Linked DNA regions of Arabidopsis thaliana. Each later gene encodes a partner of the first gene's protein in a complex. Each region holds a gene or a part of one and is shown on either strand. Other genes may lie near its edges.

Region 1 (7,248 bases):
GTCATCATCTTCATGTTTCCAACTTAATTTCTTTTGAAATATTCTACTTAAATTAAAGTTGTTTAAAATAGGGCTATTATATTCCAGATTTCTTTTTAACAGCTTCTAGATTTCTTTTTATTTTATAACTTTTGGTATAATTATTCATTTTGGATCTAAATAAGTTTATTTACGTACATCCGATCTAAAATAGTTTATTGATAAAGCTTTCTAATTAACTCATATTTTTTTTATTTTTTTTGTCGAAAGTGAATTTTATTGATTAAGAGTGACAAAAGTCATGATACAATTGTTCAAGAATCCAACTAGGGGGACAAACATTATCAGAGTAATAGTTACAATGGAGACAACCCTGTTTAGCAAGTAAATGAGCTACCCTATTACACTTTCGTTGAGTGTATGAAAAACTGATGTTTTGGAATCTAATTAACTCATATATATTCTTTTTTTTTAAACACCCATTTTTTTTTACCATAAATCAATTGTTCCAATATTTTCTTTCTATTCAATTTTTACATCTACAGTAATTATTGTATTATGAGGGGGTGATTTAGTTATCTATTTTGAATGATTTGAGTTTTTTTGTGAGTTATAGATGATTTTGGGTAAATATAGTAAAATTGATAACTTATGAATTTTCCTAATAACCTAGAACACTTTTTTTTTTTTTTGAATACCTAGAACACTTTAAAATCATTAAAGACCAATCTTGGAAAAAAAAAATCAATAAAAGTGGATTTGAATATACTCTTTCAAATTCATTAGTTCAATAGCATTGGATTTAGCAATTCTTATTATAACCAATAACACTAGATTTTTTATTAAAAAAATAATCTATGATAGGATAACATATGAATTATCATCCAAAACAAATTAATTTATTGCTTGCCAAAAAAAAAAGGTATATTAATATTGTTACTTTTTCATTTTATTCCACCTATTGTTGTTATTATTTTGTTATATCTTTATGTAATAGTAGTATACTAACGTAAGCTATAAAATTCTAATAGAAAATTCATCTATATATATATATTCTTATGGGGGTGTAATTGTGTAAACTCGTCCGTAACAGATAACATAATGCAACTAGAACAACTTCCGTGGGAATTGGAGGAAAGAATACTCACTTTGATTCCAACAAAGTGTCTCGCTCTATTCAGATCTGTTTGCAAACGATGGAACTCTCTTTCAAACGAGAGAAGGTTTATCAATAATCATTTGGCTCGTGCCCATCCACAATAATTCATCTTGATTGCCAGATCCAAGATTTGCTCGGTGGAAGTTAATCTTGATGTTCCATCCATAGAGGTGCATAGCCATAACTTACCCTCATATATTCCCGGTTATAATGGTTTCTTCATGACGGTCGAATATTGCGACGGGTTAGTGGTTTATGCTACCGAGAACGGGATTGGGATATGCAACCCATTGTTGAGACAGATTAGATGGATCAAATCCAAAGTGAATTATCGTTACAATGGGGTGGGATACGACAATTCTAGACCCGAAAATCATTACAAGATCTTTGAGTCTTGCCCCTATAGCGATACAACCGTGAAAGCTAGTATCACCGAGTTTGTATCCGATGCATGGATTTCGAAACCGTACGAGTTTGCATATGATTGGGATTTTATGTCGTCCTATAGTGTATCATTGAATGGAGCTTTGTATTGGGTTGCTTTCCATATGGCGTCTGATGACCAGTTTATTCAAAGCTTTGATTTTTCTACGGAGAAATTTGAACCCTATTGTCTCTTGCCTAATAAAAAATGTGATCCAAGCAATGCTAGGTCCCTTGCAGTTTTTAGGGGAGATCGATTTTCGTATTTAGAGCAAAACTATGAGACAAGGAATATAGAGATTTGGGTAACAAAAAAAGAGATTAAAATTGAGAATGGAAAGGCTGTGGAGTGGATGAACTTGATGAAAGTGTCAGTTCCTAAATGGTCGAGTTTAAGAGTAATAAGCTATGATCCGCCAAGTTACTTCATCGACGATAAAACCCTCAGTCTCGCATTTGTGTTGTTTGAACAAGAAGGAAAAGGCTTGCATTTATATTGCCAAGGGAGATAAGTTCCATGAAATTATAATAAACGATTTGGTTGAGTATCCTACTCGTCATCACCGTACCTATGTTCCTAGTTTGGTCCCAGTTCCAACGTTCACGATGAGCAATAGAAGTAAAACGCAGCAGGTTGAGTCCCGCTTCACACCCCCTAGAGGAATACAAGCGAGCGATGGAGGAAACGAGTGGGACGACGGCATCTTCCACAATGTGAAGAAAATAAATGTAGGAGTAAATGATTTTGACACGGTCTTTGTCAAGTTTCACTACTCCAAATATAACCGGATTGAAGCCGGAGCAGGTCATGGAAATGCGACAACACATAATCCAGACGACGAAGTACGTGACGTGATGAGATTTCTTACTTCTTAATTTATTAGTTTCTAACTTATATATAGTTTTATCATACATATCATATGGATTTCTTGCATAGATTATGATCGCTGGAGGCGACTACATTGAAGCCGTCGAGGGGACCTACACTGAAAGCCATATCACCTCCATTACATTTCGGATGCGCAAGGGAGACATGATGCCACAGTACGGACGCTTGAACGGGACGCCCTTCTCGCTTCGAGGAGAACGAGGCTCCAAGGCCATCGGGTTTTACGGAAGAAGCTCTGGTGTCCACCTCACTGCTCTCGGCGTCCACTTCTCTCCACCCCCTCTATATTATTCGTTTCCTAACCATTCACCAGTTTTTAATTATTAATAATCATGCCAATAAAAAGTAATAATTCTTTTTTGGATATGAATATGATCGTTTTTCTTGAACATGCACGATTGAGTAAAATGGGAATATTACTGGCCGTGTTTTTTATTGGGTTCGCAAAAGCCTAATAAAAAAAGTTGGACTTATGAGTAAAATGGGAAATAGGGTTTTCCAATCCTTCTTTCTGAAACCCTAAACCGACAAGGCAAGCAAACAACAACGCTGCTATACAAATCCATCTATAAACTCTTTTTTTTCTTTTCGACCGTGTCCATTAAAAATATATGATGCAACCAGAGAACCAGCCGTGGGAATTGGAGGAAGAGATACTTTCTCACCTTCCAACAATTTTTCTCGCTCGATTGAAATCAGTTTGCAAACCAACTAGTGTTTAACTATTGCTCATACTCAGCAAACCATGCACCTACTCCAATATTTCAAACTTCTGATCTCTCCTTTAATGCAACATATGTAATAAACAACAAAATATACATGGAATGTCTCGGAAAAACACAAATCTATAGGGTATTTTCTGTAATAAGTAAAAATATAAGGAAAATATGTAAATAAACCAAACTACAAGGAATATATGTAATAATATGAAAAAGTAAAAAACAAAAAATCCTTTCTCTCTCGCTTCTCTTCTTCTCTGCCCCTCCTTAACACTCTTCTCGCCGCCGTTCCTCTCTCTGCCTCTTGAGCCTCCGGAGCTGGTGAAAAAAATCGTCTTTTCTATCTCCTTTGAAGGTAATTCAGCTTTTCGATTTCTCCAGATGCTCATATAGTTGTTTTATGCCAGTCGAATCGGATTATTTTCATGAAATTAAGAGTGTTTAGGGTTTGAATCTCCGTGTTTGTAGATGGCGAGCAATATTATCATGTTCGAGGATATCTTCGTGGTCGATAAGCTAGACCCTGATGGCAAAAAGTTCGATAAAGGTATCTACTTTTTTTTTTAACCTCAGTCACGATTTGTAATGCTTGTCATGGCTTAAATCGAGTTTCTGATATGAATCCTAGTTTCTTGTGTTTGTTTTAAGTTTTAGATAAATTGGAATCCAAGTTAGTGTGAAAAAGATCTCAACTTTTAAAATTTTAAGCCTCCTAAAGTTTGTTTGTTCTGACTTCAAATTGATTGCGTCTCTGTGTGTTTGTGGTAACACAGTTACGCGTGTTGAAGCAAGGAGCCACAACTTGGAAATGTTTATGCATTTAGATGTTAACACTGAGGTTTATCCATTGGCTGTTGGTGATAAGTTCACGCTGGCTATGGCTCCCACGCTTAATCTCGATGGAACTCCTGATACCGGATACTTTACTCCGGTACTGCATGCTTTTTCTATGTTAGATTTTTGGTGTATATTGCATACTCTTTTTTACTTGCTTGGATAAATCTCATGAATGGTTACAGTAAGTTAGGCCAGTTAACTTTTCTTAAGGTTTTGGTTGGGGCATACCATTAAGTGCTAATTGCTCGATATGACTAATTCCACTGGCTTGATTCAGGAGATAGGAATAAGACTAATCATATGAAAACTTGAGCAATACTTAGTCTCTTGAATATTGAATTAAAACCTATCTTTGAAAACCAAGACTGTTTTCTTTGATAATTTGAACATTCATTTAGTTTCCATGTCGCTCTATTACAAGAACATGTATTAGGATTTGATCTAATTGCTTAATAGAACAATTGCTTTGGCTTGATTCAGGAAGCCTATCTAGGAATAAGAGTAAACATGTGGAATTTGAGCAAGACTTAGTGTCTTGACTCTTGAATCATGAAACCAAGATTGTTGTTAGCTAATCTAATCTAGTTTCCATCTCGCTTTGTTACAGGGAGCAAAGAAAACACTTGCAGATAAGTATGAATACATCATGCACGGGAAGCTTTACAAGATCTCTGAGCGTGACGGCAAAACTCCAAAAGCGTAAGAATCCCATATACCTAGACCAACAAAATCATTTTTTCCCAAAGAGATCCAATTTAACTTACAGATCTAACCATCATGCTTCGGTTTCTATCTTGCAATTATGTGTTTGCAGAGAGTTATATGTTTCGTTCGGGGGGCTCCTGATGTTGCTTCAGGGAGATCCAGCTCATATTTCTCACTTCGAACTTGACCAGAGGCTCTTTCTACTCATGAGGAAGCTTTGAGATGCCATTGTCTAATCACTTTCCGAGAATATTCGCATAAAAACCGAATTAACAGAGAGCTTTCTTATAAAAGCTTTATCTTATGTTAAACTTTGCTATTATAAATACTATTTTCATGAAGCAACTCTTGTACATCCAATATTTAACTGTCCAATTGAATTATGCTTGTAGCTCAGAGCTGTTGATGAATGATGATAACCACTTGAGGCCAATAAGTTATAAAACAAACAGAGACAAAAAAATTGTTTCTTTTCTAACAACACTCTCACATGTGTTTAGTAATATTCTCTCTTTGAACAATAACACTAAGCCAATAAAACAAAAAAGTCAGTTTCTGGCGTAGCAGGAATTTTTCTTTGTGATAGTGAAGTTTTTGGAGTTGTTGTTACTCATGCTTGTATCCAGACGCCTTCCCACTTCTCCCAACTGTATGAGGCTCATGCGTATTATCGCTGTTTACCTCCAAACCATGATAAGCATGGCTGAGGAAATACTCGGATCCTGATTTTGCAGCTGTTTGATTTAGTGAGTGAGTTATGATTATTGCCTCTCAACTGCAATGCTTTCTCTGCAGCTTATACTAATGCCATTGGCTCTCATGTGTCCGTCTTCTTCTCCATTCTTTGCTTGATCTGCATCAAGTAGATTGTCAAACTCATGGAATCAAAAATGGCTTTGGTTGACTTAACAATGTATCAAGCTTTCTATGATACCGTTTGTTTTGTGATCTTCTAGGTAACCACCCTGAAAGAAGAAGATCCGTGGCTCCTCTGATCCGCTATATATGTGCTTCTGAAAAGTGGTTAGCAATTTGTGAATTGTGATCACTTGCGGCATTTAGGTTCATATTGGGTGTACGATTTTGGATTATAAAGAAAATCATCAAAACGTTCGTAGAACACAATTCACAAATTTATTGATTTAAACTAGAACGATACACGTAACTGATTCTTCTTTTTGCATGTCCAAAATTATCATCAAGACCGGACTAATCATCATAGGATACATGTGAAAGTTGCAGCCTCTTACATTTTCTCCGTAACTATTTTGCTGTCCTGCTTTTATCCCTACATTTTCTGAGAGAAAGTCTTCTGTCAGTGCTAGATTTCATACTTATTCCATGACTAAAGTTACTTTACTTCATTTCATAATCAAATAATATACTTTCTATTTAAATTATTATATAATTTGTTGACAAAAAAAATATAGGTATCTAAGAAGTAAAAAGTATATTTTTCATATATATTAAATTAAATTAAACATGTTCTAAAAAGGGATAATATTTTTTATTTATTTATCTAACTTTTGGTATAATTATTTATTTTCTGATACAAATCTACTCACTCACATCCAGATTATATGTATTTTCTCTTTCTAATTGCCTCATATCTACAGTCATTCATTTTTTTATAGGTTTTCTTTCCTAATTACAATCATTTATGGACAAAAGTTAAAAAAATAAAAATAAAATTTTCTTTTCTCTTCATTTTCCCATCTATTAATATATATAGTTATTATATTCTTCATGTAGTAATAGTAGCAGTATCTGTAAGCATTGAATTTCTGTTATACACATCCATCTATATATTATCTTGTTCTGATATATTATCATAAAGCTAAAAAAAAGGTATGATGCAACCAGATCATGACCTGCCGTATGATTTGGAGGGAGAGATACTCTCTCACCTTCCAATACAAATTCTCGCTCGATTTAGATGTGTTTGCAAGAGATGGAACACTCTTTTCAAGGAAAGGAGGTTCTTCAACAGTGATTTGGGTCTCGCCCGTCCACAATTCATCTTGCTTGCCGAATCCAAGATTTGCTCGGTGGACGTTAATCTTGACGGCCCATCTATAGAGGTGCATAACTTGCCCTCAGATATTCCCGGTTATAAACTTTATATGCCCATGCACGTCGAATATTGCGACGGGTTATTTCTTTATGCAACCTGTTATGGGATTGGGATTTGCAACCCATGGCTGAGACAGATTAGATGGTTCAAATCCAGTTATGAAGGTTATGATTTCAGTGGGATGGGATACGACAATAGTAGACAGGACAAGCACTACAAGATCTTAGGGTCTTACTGTACAAATACAACCATGAATGCTAGTGTCACCGAGTTGGGATCCGATGCATGGAAATCTTACGAATTTGCATTCCATAGTTGGAATTTATCTATGTCGCCTTATAGTGTTTCATTGAATGGAAATTTGTATTGGGTTGCTTATAATCATGAGTCTCGTGATTATTTTATTCAAAGCTTCGACTTTTCTACGGTGAGCTTCAAACACTATTGTATCTTGCCTACTAAA
Region 2 (3,684 bases), on another chromosome or scaffold:
TTCTCTAAGCGAGTGAAGTAAGCTTACCAGTGGCAGTGAGTGAGCTCTTACCAGTGTTTAGGGTCTTCTGCAATTTTCCTTGTTTTGATCGGGAGCTTGATCAAGACTACTGATGCTGAGATTTACGAAAATTGCCAACGGTCTCTATGTTCCCGGTGACAGTGAAGCTCTTTACGCTTCCAAGTTTCAAGACTCCACTGCTACTTTGACTTCGCCTATCTCGCTGGTACAAGGTCTGTGGAGGTTACAGTATGGGTGATAACCTTTTCCTTCTGCGAGGAAAGCATTGTCTCGGCTTTTACTTTTGTTCATAACTTGTGGATATTGGATAGTAAAGCCTACCACTAATGGCATAACATTCAGGATGCTTCTTGGTGTGCTATGATTTGTTATAAGCGAATCACTCTCGTTGGCTAAACACTTTGAGAAAATGACTCTTAAAATGCTCTCTTGGGCTATACTGGAAACTTGCTGTGTTCAGTGGATCTTCAGGTCCTTGTTGACAACCATTAACAAGCTTAAGGTAAGAATAAAGAAACCAACAATACTTTCAGTCCTTTGATGATTTATAATTCCATAACAGACTAAGGGCAGTGCATATAGATATCTTTCGTACTCATCTGCTTTTTCTGGTCTCCATCACAAAAGCCAACTAGGTAATCATATCAATCTCTCTTTACCGTTTACTCGACCTTTTCCAATCAGGTGCTTCTGGTGTGTCTACTACTATCAGTTTTAGGTCTTTGTATACCTGATCTTATCTGCTACTGAGGCTTGTAAAAGTGATTAAAACTGTGACATTTACTCTAAGAGAAGTAACCTGTTTGATGCATTTCCCTAATATACCGGTGTGGAAAAGTGTAGGTATCTGTACTCAGCTGAAATGGTGGACGATTTTGAAGAAGATGAACTCTCATTGACTGAAAGCGGGTTGAAGAGTGAAGATGGCGTTATTATCGAGATGAATGTCTCCTGGATGCTTTTATTATCATGTTTGGGAATTTACCAAGGGAGAGGTATCAGAATCTATCTTAGAAGGTTACATTTAGCTCAAGCTTGCATCAACATCTTTACTTAGAGCTCTACGGGTTTTAGTGTGTTTGAAGTTTCTTAACTCCTAGTATAATTAGAATCTTCTGCAGCAGACTTTAGAGTTTTGGGATGTAGAGCTAACCAGAGTCGGTTTGTTTAAACTAGAATCTTTTTATGTAGCAGACTTGTTCAGTACCTGAATACCAGTTTTAAATTACCGTCAGATGTTGATCTTGTTGGTAATAATGGAGAAACGGAAGAATAATTAGACGAAACAAACTCTTTAAGAACGTATCTTTCAGTTTTCCATCACAAATTTTCTTACAAGCTACAAAAATCGAACTATATATAACTGAACCGAATTTAAACCGGAGGGAGGGTTTGACTTTGGTCAATCACATTTCCAATGATACCGTCGTTTGGTTTGGGGAAGCCTCGTCGTACAAATACGACGTCGTTTAAGGAAAGCCCTCCTTAACCCCAGTTATAAGCTCAAAGTTGTACTTGACCTTTTTAAAGAAGCACGAAACGAAAAACCCTAAAATTCCCAAGCAGAGAAAGAGAGACAGAGCAAGTACAGATTTCAACTAGCTCAAGATGATCATCCCTGTTCGTTGCTTTACTTGTGGAAAGGTTGATATTTTCCCCTTCGCTTTGGTCTTATTTAGGGTTTTACTCCGTCTTTATAGGGTTTTAGTTACTCCAAATTTGGCTAAGAAGAGATCTTTACTCTCTGTATTTGACACGAATGTTTTTAATCGGTTGGATACATGTTGGGTCGATTAGAGAAATAAAGTATTGAGCTTTACTAAGCTTTCACCTTGTGATTGGTTTAGGTGATTGGAAACAAATGGGATCAGTATCTTGATCTTCTCCAGCTCGACTACACTGAAGGGTAAGCTTACAATGATTCTCACTTCTTGCTGCTCTAATCATCATACTTTGTGTCAAAAAGAGAGTAATTGCTTTGCGTTTTAGAGAAATTAGCCCAGATTTCGTATTGGGTCTGTGAAGTTTCATATTAGCTAACACACTTCTCTAATTGATAACAGAAGCTATAAAATAGATTTGCTGATGAAGGAGTTAGCTTTTTATAATCTTCTGTGTTTGTGTTTTACTGTCTGTGTCATTGGAAGAGACTATGTCCTGCCTATATAATCTCTATGTGCCTATCTAGATTTTCTATACAATTGATATTTGATAGAAGTAGAAAGTAAGACTTAAGGTCTTTTGATTAGACTTGTGCCCATCTACATGATTCTTATTGGACTAATCATTCTTTGTGTGAAAATAGAATACTTTGTCTGAACATGAGAGAATGGTTCATAATACGTGTGAAGTATGGGATTAGTTCAACAATTTCGCTATTGGAGAAGCAAACCAAGGGTTAATCGTTTATAGGGTTAAGCTAATGCTCTGCTCTTTATATGTTATTGGAACAGACTATTGTTGTGCCTATCTTGTTTAGTTGTAGATTCTATCTCGACTGTTATAAGTATGACTGAAGGCTTGATGACTTATGATTCTCTTTACACCTGTAGAAGGATTTAAGCTTGGTGTCTAGATATTCAATCTGTGTTGGTTTTGTCTTTCTTTTGGCTCTTAGTGTTGTTCAATCTCCTCAATAGGTATGAAGTTACAATATCCTTATTATTTTGCAGGGACGCACTTGATGCACTCCAGCTAGTCAGATACTGCTGCAGGCGTATGCTAATGACTCATGTTGATCTGATTGAGAAGCTTCTCAACTACAACAGTATACTCTCCAAACTCTTATCATATGTTGTGTATCTTTTGACTCGGACGTTATTGTCCTTTTCGATTTATTTACTGGTACCCACGTACTTTTCCTTGCAGCTCTGGAGAAATCAGACAACAGTTAGAAGAGGATGCAAATCTGCTGAAAAAGTTTTCCTCTTTAGAGGCTTAAATATTAGTATGTATGAAAACATTTGGTGTATGTGGTGTAGACCCTTCAACTCCATCTAAAATTATATATGTGTGTCAGTTACTTTCTCGTGTGATTCAATCTCATGATTTCCTGACCTTGAAGATTTCTCCTTTGGATTCATGTTTCATTAGTATTATTGAGGTGATTTTCATGGCCATAACTGAAAACCTTTGAGAAAAGAGTTAAAAGTCACTGGTCTTCATAACCTTTTGTATACAAAACGCAAGTACAACAGAATCGTCCAACTGTTTAGTGTGTTCAGGCTCGGGCAAGAGTTTTCAAATCTTCCAAACGAACGGTTAAAATAAAATGTATAACCAAAGAAGAATGAAGAACACAGTGTAATCATATCTGGCTTATGTAACCCGACCCCGTTCTTAAGGGAACATATCACATTCAAATCTCCAATAACGATCCCAAACCACATAAGATGTGTTATTAAGATCCAATTAATCGGGACTAAAACCAATTCGAGAGAACAAACGAACGATGACTCAGTACCCATTAATCTGTCTTCCTGTTGTTGTCGATCCTACCAACCGAGAGAAGGGTTGCTGCTGCGTTTGGTTGTTGCGGCTTTTGTTAAAACTGTTGCTGCTTCCAATTCCAGATTTAGGGTCAGAGAAAGGAGAATAGGCTTGAGCTAGCTCAAGAGCAGAAGCTGCTTTTCCGTGACGAATCCCTGTTCCATTTGGTGAATC

What was found. Proteins that work in one complex are often made in the same cells at the same time.
Region 2: NRPB8B (region 1) and NRPB10 share a complex: the UniProt entries of both Arabidopsis thaliana proteins name them as parts of the RNA polymerase II.

Annotation. Positions count from the first base shown.
Region 1 is NC_003074.8:22,012,992-22,020,239, forward strand, and holds NRPB8B (RNA polymerase Rpb8), read left to right. Parts: upstream 1-3,384; 5' UTR 3,385-3,524; intron 3,525-3,637; coding exon 3,638-3,716; intron 3,717-3,942; coding exon 3,943-4,100; intron 4,101-4,613; coding exon 4,614-4,705; intron 4,706-4,820; coding exon 4,821-4,932; 3' UTR 4,933-5,370; downstream 5,371-7,248. Other genes in the region: AT3G59590 (jacalin lectin family protein), read left to right, coding at 1,176-1,202, 1,267-1,959, 2,039-2,404, 2,499-2,777; AT3G59610 (F-box family protein / jacalin lectin family protein), read left to right, coding at 6,562-7,248. UniProt on the Arabidopsis thaliana protein: DNA-dependent RNA polymerase catalyzes the transcription of DNA into RNA using the four ribonucleoside triphosphates as substrates. Component of RNA polymerase II which synthesizes mRNA precursors and many functional non-coding RNAs.
Region 2 is NC_003070.9:3,860,891-3,864,574, forward strand, and holds NRPB10 (RNA polymerases N / 8 kDa subunit), read left to right. Parts: upstream 1-1,508; 5' UTR 1,509-1,629; coding exon 1,630-1,665; intron 1,666-1,868; coding exon 1,869-1,927; intron 1,928-2,693; coding exon 2,694-2,788; intron 2,789-2,889; coding exon 2,890-2,915; 3' UTR 2,916-3,184; downstream 3,185-3,684. Other genes in the region: AT1G11480 (eukaryotic translation initiation factor-like protein), read right to left, coding at 3,478-3,684. UniProt on the Arabidopsis thaliana protein: DNA-dependent RNA polymerase catalyzes the transcription of DNA into RNA using the four ribonucleoside triphosphates as substrates. Component of RNA polymerase II which synthesizes mRNA precursors and many functional non-coding RNAs.